Linked DNA regions of Tribolium castaneum. Each later gene encodes a partner of the first gene's protein in a complex. Links are inferred from orthologs where the notes say so. Each region holds a gene or a part of one and is shown on either strand. Other genes may lie near its edges.

Region 1 (3,974 bases):
TGAACAGCTGCACTTTCCTGTGCTGCAATGGTCGCCCGACACATCTCCTCTCTATCACTCTCATTTAAAACTTGCCCCGCATGATCCAATCTCGGATTAGCTTGCAAATGTTGCATTAGTTGGCTGCGAGACGACGCGAGACTTGCTCTCAACACCCTCAAAACAATCGCATATAAAGGGGCACAGCGAAAAACACGCTCATCGCATCGCATGATCTGGAGAGGATCCTCAGCGACATCGATTCGTGTCAGGTTTGAGAAATCATCGACTAGGTTTTTGACGGTTAGAACCCACAATCGGCGGGGAAGTACCGTATTAAAGCGTAACCATACGTCTCTGTACAGGTCTTGTAAGTAGCGTGGGACATTGTCATTTAGGATCTTGCGGGCGAATTGTGTGAAAATCTCGGCAAATGGCCATATATCTATGGCTTGCTGTTTGAGTAAAGTTTGCATAAGCTTGGCACACTTTGATGGGTTAGTGTCCAAGTCATTGAAAGCCTCAATGACGCTTATTTGCGTCACGTGGGTTGGCTTATGCTCCGTTTTGATGGACATATCGTCCAACCAATCCTCCACTAGTGTCAAGTGGGGGAAATGCGTAGCTAGGAGTTTGAGCAACGGCCCGAAAAGACCCGAATAGGAGCTTTGGTCTTTTTGGGCGTGGTGTAGCAAGTATTTGATTGGTAGTTCCGATAAAAATTCGGAACTATACAACTTGATTTTGCGGTTAAACGCGGCCAAAATGTGGGCGTTAACCAATCGACAGTCCTCGTACAGGAGGAGATAGTAGAGGAGGAGGAGTTGTGGGGTGAGACTTGTACCATCCACCACAACGTCCTGATTCTCACTATTTAGGTCAAAATCCATGGTAAAAATCGACTTTTTGTGGTCGAAATACTGTCCAAAGATCGAACTTTGAAACACGCGCCGTATCTCATTCTCACTCAACGGCTTATTAGTCTCAGTGTTCCGTGAGGTTGGCATTATAACACTGTTAACGTACACTTCCACTAGCATTGGCAACACTGGATGTAAGGGACTAACACTCGTACAGATCTGCTTATAGATCCAGTTTTTTATATTCACGTTGTGTTTGGCAAACGCGCGCGATTTAAGCAACTGATGGATGCAATGTATGGGTAAAAACCCGGTCATATTCGCACTTAACGAGTTCGTAACCGGAACCTTAACCGCATGTGCGGTTACAACTTGTTCCGTGAAAATCTCCTGCGTGAAGACTTGCTTCATCCTTGTCATGTTGTTATGTCTGATGGGGATTTTCATCCCCAAAGTGGCACACACCAAATCACAGATGGCACTCAACTGGTTACTATGAAAATGTATAGCCATCAGTAGTAACATTTCGCCAAAACTGGCAGTAACGCCACTGGCCGACTCAAAATACGCCTCCTCCTTCACCAACCATTGCACCCACTCGATGCTACGTCGCTCGTGCTCTTGCAGCGAAATCAGCGAGGGGCAGGCAATCAACATGCACAGACCAATGGAAACGAAGCGAACGCCCGCCGGGGTGGGGCTTGGGTGTGACGTCAACAGACGCACCAATGCCGTGACTTCATCCTCCTGAAACTTGATTGCTGCGATCCCGCGAAGCGCACAATAGAGGCGCAAGAGGGCGGAGCCTTGAACCACGAGACTGTCCAATAGGTGGCCTTCGACAGAAGCGGCGAGAATCACGTGCAAGCGACGTAACAACTCCTCCCTTAGTTGCAAAAGGGCGGTGCTTGAAATCTCCCCCTTCTTTTTCTGTCCAGTCCGGATAAATAACGCGATCCAGTTGCGTATTGTTTGGTCGTTGCCTAGCAACAGCCCGGAGATGAACGCCACCATGTCCCCCTCCCCGCCGTCCAGAGATAGTGTGATTGCGAGCGCGGGCATTCGGCACAATTCGACGCACTTGCTTCGGATTGTCAAAGCCTGGCTCGGATTCATTTTACAGAGGAGGGAAATCGTGGCGGCTCGGACTGTGCTCAGTTTGGTTTCTTCCTGTTTTTCCCCCGTTTGGATCAAGTAGGTGCAAACCTCTCGGAAGCAGTCGGGGAAGTTCGCCACGATTCGGCAAATGATGGGCGGGCCGTTGTGCAAGTGGAGGAGGGTTTCAGTGATTGTCAAAATGTTTAGAGTTATGGGGAGTTCAGCCAAGGCTATGCAGATAATATCGGACAATTCCTCGGCGAAAATGTCGTTGTCGAACAGTTCCGAGGGCTTGATGTAGCTCGTGTCCGAGTTTTCGTCCTGGATTTGGCTCTGGACGTAGAGTAGTTCCCCGAGTAAGATGCTCAAACGGCGGGTCATGTCGCTGCGTTCGTACTCCAAGGCCATGCTGGTGTTTGATAAGTTGCCGATCAGGATCGAGTCGTTCTGGAGGGCTACGCCCTTCTGGCGCAGCTGCTGCTCCTTCTTGACCTCGGTTTCCAGTCGATGGAAATCGATGGAAAGAAGGGCAACGATCGAATTGACCAGTTCCATCCCGGACACGATTGTGAGAATGTCGACCTTCATGGTGGTGCATTTTTTCGACGTGTCGAGGGGCGAGATGAGCCCCATTCGCACGAGACAGGGCAACACGGGGCGGATCTCCACCTCGGTGCATTCGGACAGCTGGTGCATGTCCACGTTTTGGATGGCGCGGAACACCTTGGGGTCCACGCCTTTCTTAAACGACATTTTCACGCACAAACCGGCTTTGTTTACGGCACTTTTGGGGTTATGTGCGCTCTCGCGACAGCGATCTACTTTACCGGCTCCGGCTTGACCACGATTTTGAATAAAACGATAATTAATACTTGATTGTTTTATTTATTGAGGCTGGTTGAGGGGTTTTGGCTTTAATTGCGCCCTTTGGGGGCATTCTACGGCTTGGATAGTCGTTAATTAATTGATAAGTGTGGTTATGTTTTTTGACAAGTGTCAACTGGCCTAACGTGTCTCAACTGGTCTGAACCTGCAGTTATTTTTTTTGTGGATTTGGGGCCAAATGACATGGTTGAATGAATAGATTGCGACGACTTTTTGGTTTTTGGTCTTGTGTTTATTGATTTTTTGGCACTAGGCCAATTTCCGGGCGCTAGAACATTGCACAATTTTGCTACATTTTCCCTTTTTTGCGTGTAAGAGATAATAAGGCCATTCGGTGGCTGGAAGGATGAATGAAAAAGCGGCTACTCCCAATAAAATTTATTAGAAAAAATGAATACACTACATTAATGTTGCTTTCTCCTGAAGCTGCAGCCCTCCGTGAGTCGGGCTTTGCCCCCGGTGGATGTGCACAGGATGGTGGAGCACCCTTTGCAGGGGACTGCAGACTGGGCATGGGAGAAGATGGTAGAGATGGCGTAACATCCTGGACATTTTACGTCCATGAAGTAACTATTGGGATGTTGCACCAACCTCTTCTTCTTATGCGATTTCTTCTGTTTTTCGGCAGAAGGGTGCAATAAATCGACTGCTAACGGCATCTGGAAAAACACAAACATTGCTCAAAATACGCCAAAATTTCACCACAAACACTTGACTAGGCATGTTTTTGGTCGTTTTACGCTTTTACGTACGTTTTTAAACGCTTGGGACACTCAAAAAGGCTGATTTTTTCCACAACGCACGTGGTGACTTCGGCTATCAACCGTGTAAAGGAAAGTGACAGATGACAGGCGGTACCACCATAACGCCGTCTTACCAACACAACGAGCCGAAAGAACCCGCCTTAATTGATAAATAAATAAATTATTGATTGACCATTTAACCGTGCGCCCCTTGGACTCAATAAAAACGTGGCTCTGACTTTAATGGGGGCCCATTAATTCGTAAAAAATGCAGCTGTCAGTTTTGACAGCTGACCTAACCTTGGAACCACTTACGGAATTTTTACTAAACAATTTAATAATCAACGAGCAAAGTACACGTCCGTGTAGTTTACAGTACATCATGTTCGTTTTCACGCGAATTGTGGCC
Region 2 (3,947 bases), on another chromosome or scaffold:
TTTGGAGTCACTTAACTCAAAACGCTAAGACAGTGCGATTTTATATCCAAGGGGGACACTTAAATATTTACTTTGTGTTCGTACCACTTCAACCCCCAAAGAGGGGCTGCCTGTAATTATATATTTTTTTAATGGAAACAGGGGTTAATTATGATGTTATTTTAAAATCTATTAAAACCTCTTTACAATAGGGAAAGTGCGGGCAAGACGGGGTACTTAACGTTTGAAGCTCTATAAAATTTTTGTATTATTAATTATCCTTGGTAATTAGTTTTTTGTGATTAATAAGTTTTATTTGGAACCTTTATTAAATATAAAAGTGAAACAAAGTAGAAAAAGTCCTTGTGGGTAAGATGGGGTACCCCTAATTTCAATTTCACTGTTGCTCTCGATTGATGGTCTAATCTTAAAATCTTTTTCTTTTTGAACACTCTTTTTATCAACCCCAGATTTTTCAGTTTTCCTTTAGCTCTGTAATTTTTATTCTTTTGCTTATTTTCCAAACTTTGTTATGGTTTAAGGTTTTTTATGAAGAGAGGAGTTTTACATATTACTGTTACGAGCAAGGTCTCAGCCCGTCTTGCCCTCTTACGGCAAATTGTGTTAGAAAATTAACTTCCAAAAACTATGTTGTCATCTACAAATAAATAGATGTTAACCTGTTAGAAAAATCATTGACATATGAATAACCATAAAAGCAATTTGAAATTTTGTTATTAACAAAACAGACACGTACTAAAGAAAGTGAAAAAAATCATAAGAAAATCGCCAAAAACAGGTTTTTTTCATAAAACTCGCAAAAGGCATGGTGGTATCGTTCAATTAAAAATCTACAATTAAAAGCTGTCTTAACTGGGCTTCGCCACGTACAAAAAATGATTATTAGTCAATTAGTTTATTATTTAAAGCTCATACCCCGTCTTGCCCGCACTTCCACCAAGTGTTATTTTTTTTATTTGGTATAAGTTTTCTAAAAATTTCTTTTTTTTAATTACAGTTTATTTATTAAATTATTTATTTGAATGTTCTAAATGGCCATAATTTTTTTAGTCTTTATGAACCCCATAAATTGTAAAAATCGAGTCCAAACATCGAAAACTTGGGTGAACTGTCTTCACTGAACCATCCTGTATATTTTCTATTTGTTTTCCTTAGGAACAGTTTCATTCATTGTTCTTTTATTCCCAATGATGTCAAATTTAATTTACTATCTAATTTGTGAGCTTATTAAATTTTTTAAATACCATAATACACTAATTGGCACATAATTGATGATTTTTTTTAACAGATATCTGCTTAATGATCAAAGAAATTAAAAAAAAATTGATCTAAAGTTCTTTACCACTACCTAAAAGTCCACAACTGTATTATTACCAATAAGTCAAAAAAAAGTAGATAATTGTAGATAAAAATTATGACACTCGGCTTTGCCTCGTCATTTACCCATAAACTCGTCCTCCAAGCCGTGCACGAAGGCCCCACACGCCCCACTGCTCATCAAATTGATGCTGTCAGCGTCGAGGATTTCCCTGGGGGCGTCATCGGCCCATTTTTTCCCACTCGCCCATTCTCCACTCGTTACATTTTCCCAAGCCAACTCATGAGCCGTCCTTTTGCGCCTCATATTAGACATTAATTTTTTATCAAGAGTTTGGTTGAGAAATTTCGCACTGACTTGTTTCATCGTTCCCAATAGTTTAGCCGCCAAGGTTCGAACATGGATTGATAAATCAGAAATCGAGTTGCAAACTTTACCGAAAGCGTCGTCTATGAGACGGATTTCGTGTTCACTTCCCGGAAGTACAACCTCACTGAAATTTTTTCAATTAAATGTAAATAGAAGAGAGGGTTTAGGCTAAGCCTACTTTTCCGGAAACGTGTTGCCCAAAAGACACACTAACTTGAGAACGACTTGACGGACAATTTCGTAGTCGTCCTTTAAGGCATCGCAAACATCTATATAAATGTCCGGATTTATTTTAAAATTGCGCTCATGTAGGGTGATAATCGTCGAAAAAGCCTGACTACGCACCCTGGCGTCGTCGTGGTTAAAGTACGAACTAATCAAAACCATTAATTTCTCCGCCTCTGCCCCCGTACAAACCGGCGTATGCACGCCAATGATCTCTAGACATTTCCTCTTGACAGCATGACTGACATCTTTCAAGTAACTTTTCGCCACTTCTACCAGTTTCTGATGCAAAGCGATGACATTATCAGAGACCAGCTTCCCTAATTTAAGCACGGTATTCATCCCCTGAGCGATAACTTTATGTGAATGGTCATTTTTAAGCAACAAAATCGTCTCGTCAATAATGGACACAACATCAGCGTTGGGTAGATGCCCAATGTCGCACAAAAGTGACAAAATTTTTACTCTAACGGCCGACTCTGGCTCATTCTTAAAATGATCGCTCAGTTTTTTAACTGCTTCGGGAATATCTGAAGCCTCAAGCTCGAAAGTATCAGAGACACGAAGCAAAGTTCGTAGGGCTTCGCTACTGCTTTTGCAACCTTCAAGACAACTAATAAGTGCCAAAGACGAGTTCCCGGTGCCTGTGGAAGGCTTCTTGACAAGTTTGAGTTTTTTAATCGGTTGGAAAGGAACAGTTTCCTGGAATATGTAAACATAACCTCATTTTGGACAAAGGGAAATTTAGCCCATACCTGGATTGTTTGGGTGAATTCGGCCAAAGCGCGTTTTTTCAACACTGCAGCCATCGTGTTTATGTGGTAATTAACCGATTTTAGCGTTTTTTAAACATTTTATTTTGTGATTGTTGTCAAATGTCAAAAAGTTACGCAACCGCCACCTGGTGACAATTACATAAAATTTGGTTTTTTGATTTTTTTTATTTATGAGCGGTAAAGGTATTAATTTACCGCATTTGTCGGTTTCTGGCATTAATTCTAAATTATTGTTTTGTCCAATTAGGTAATTAATGCTATTTTGTTGTTGGACCGAATGACGGTTTGTTTGTGCCAATGGCGTATCGTTTGGGATGGGTTTGGGGGTCGGGTTAAACTCATTTGTTTTAAATAATGTTTATTTGTAATAAATTCACAATTATATAATAAAGTTATAAAATGTAAATATATGAATCTAGGTATAAAAATACTTTATAAAATCAATAATAAAGAGGAGATAAAATCTGATATAACTATACATAACGTAATCTGAGTATAAAACATGTTCTATGGCGAATATAAACAAAAAAGTTTATATAAAGTGTCTGGATGTACATATTTTTCGTACGTATATGTAGTCTATTTGAGTATTGTCTTTCAGAGAGAACACAGTTGGAAAAAAGTTGGCAGTTATGGGCCAAAGAAGCAAGCAAAAAAAACTAAATTGAATGAGATCCAAAATAGAACAAAAAACATAATAATAATATAAATCCCTTTACCATGGCAAACTGTCATAAATAAGAATTACGAACATTTACAAAAAACATCAACAAATACTGATTATAATACAAAAATTAGTAAACAAGAGCATTAAGTATGATCGATTTACAAAACAATTGTAACATTACGTAAACATTTATAACATAGACAACAATTGTAAGATGGTAAGGATTAGAAAATAACAAATGACGCGACTCGGTCGCATTTGTACTCACATTTGTAATGTGTACAACAAATTATACTATTTAATCAATATACAATAAACATTTTTATTTTACAAAGTGAGTATTATAAGGTAAAAAGGTCATATAATGCCTTGACATATGGTAAACTGAAGTTTTTTCTTCCTAATCACTAAGCGCTAGCATTAAACTAAAAGCATCTGAAACTAAATTAAATGCTTCGTTGAAGCACTGCGGAGTAACCTAGAGCAGAGTGGAACGATAATACTTTTAATTATTAGGAAAAAAACTGAACAGAAAAAACAAACAATTGTAGATTCCACACTGCGAGTAACAAAGAAACTAATCATACGATAA

What was found.
Region 2: IntS2 (region 1) and IntS4 share a complex: the UniProt entries of both Homo sapiens proteins name them as parts of the integrator complex. The link is inferred for Tribolium castaneum from reciprocal best matches to the Homo sapiens genes INTS2 and INTS4.

Annotation. Positions count from the first base shown.
Region 1 is NC_087401.1:16,828,994-16,832,967, reverse strand, and holds the start of IntS2 (integrator complex subunit 2), read right to left. Parts: upstream 2,807-3,974; 5' UTR 2,691-2,806; coding exon 1-2,690. Other genes in the region: RpS27 (small ribosomal subunit protein eS27-like), read right to left, coding at 3,227-3,481; Arc42 (short-chain specific acyl-CoA dehydrogenase, mitochondrial), read left to right, coding at 3,834-3,974. UniProt on the Homo sapiens protein: Component of the integrator complex, a multiprotein complex that terminates RNA polymerase II (Pol II) transcription in the promoter-proximal region of genes.
Region 2 is NC_087398.1:12,616,360-12,620,306, reverse strand, and holds the start of IntS4 (integrator complex subunit 4), read right to left. Parts: upstream 2,809-3,947; 5' UTR 2,722-2,808; coding exon 2,668-2,721; intron 2,615-2,667; coding exon 1,866-2,614; intron 1,812-1,865; coding exon 1,444-1,811; intron 1-1,443. UniProt on the Homo sapiens protein: Component of the integrator complex, a multiprotein complex that terminates RNA polymerase II (Pol II) transcription in the promoter-proximal region of genes.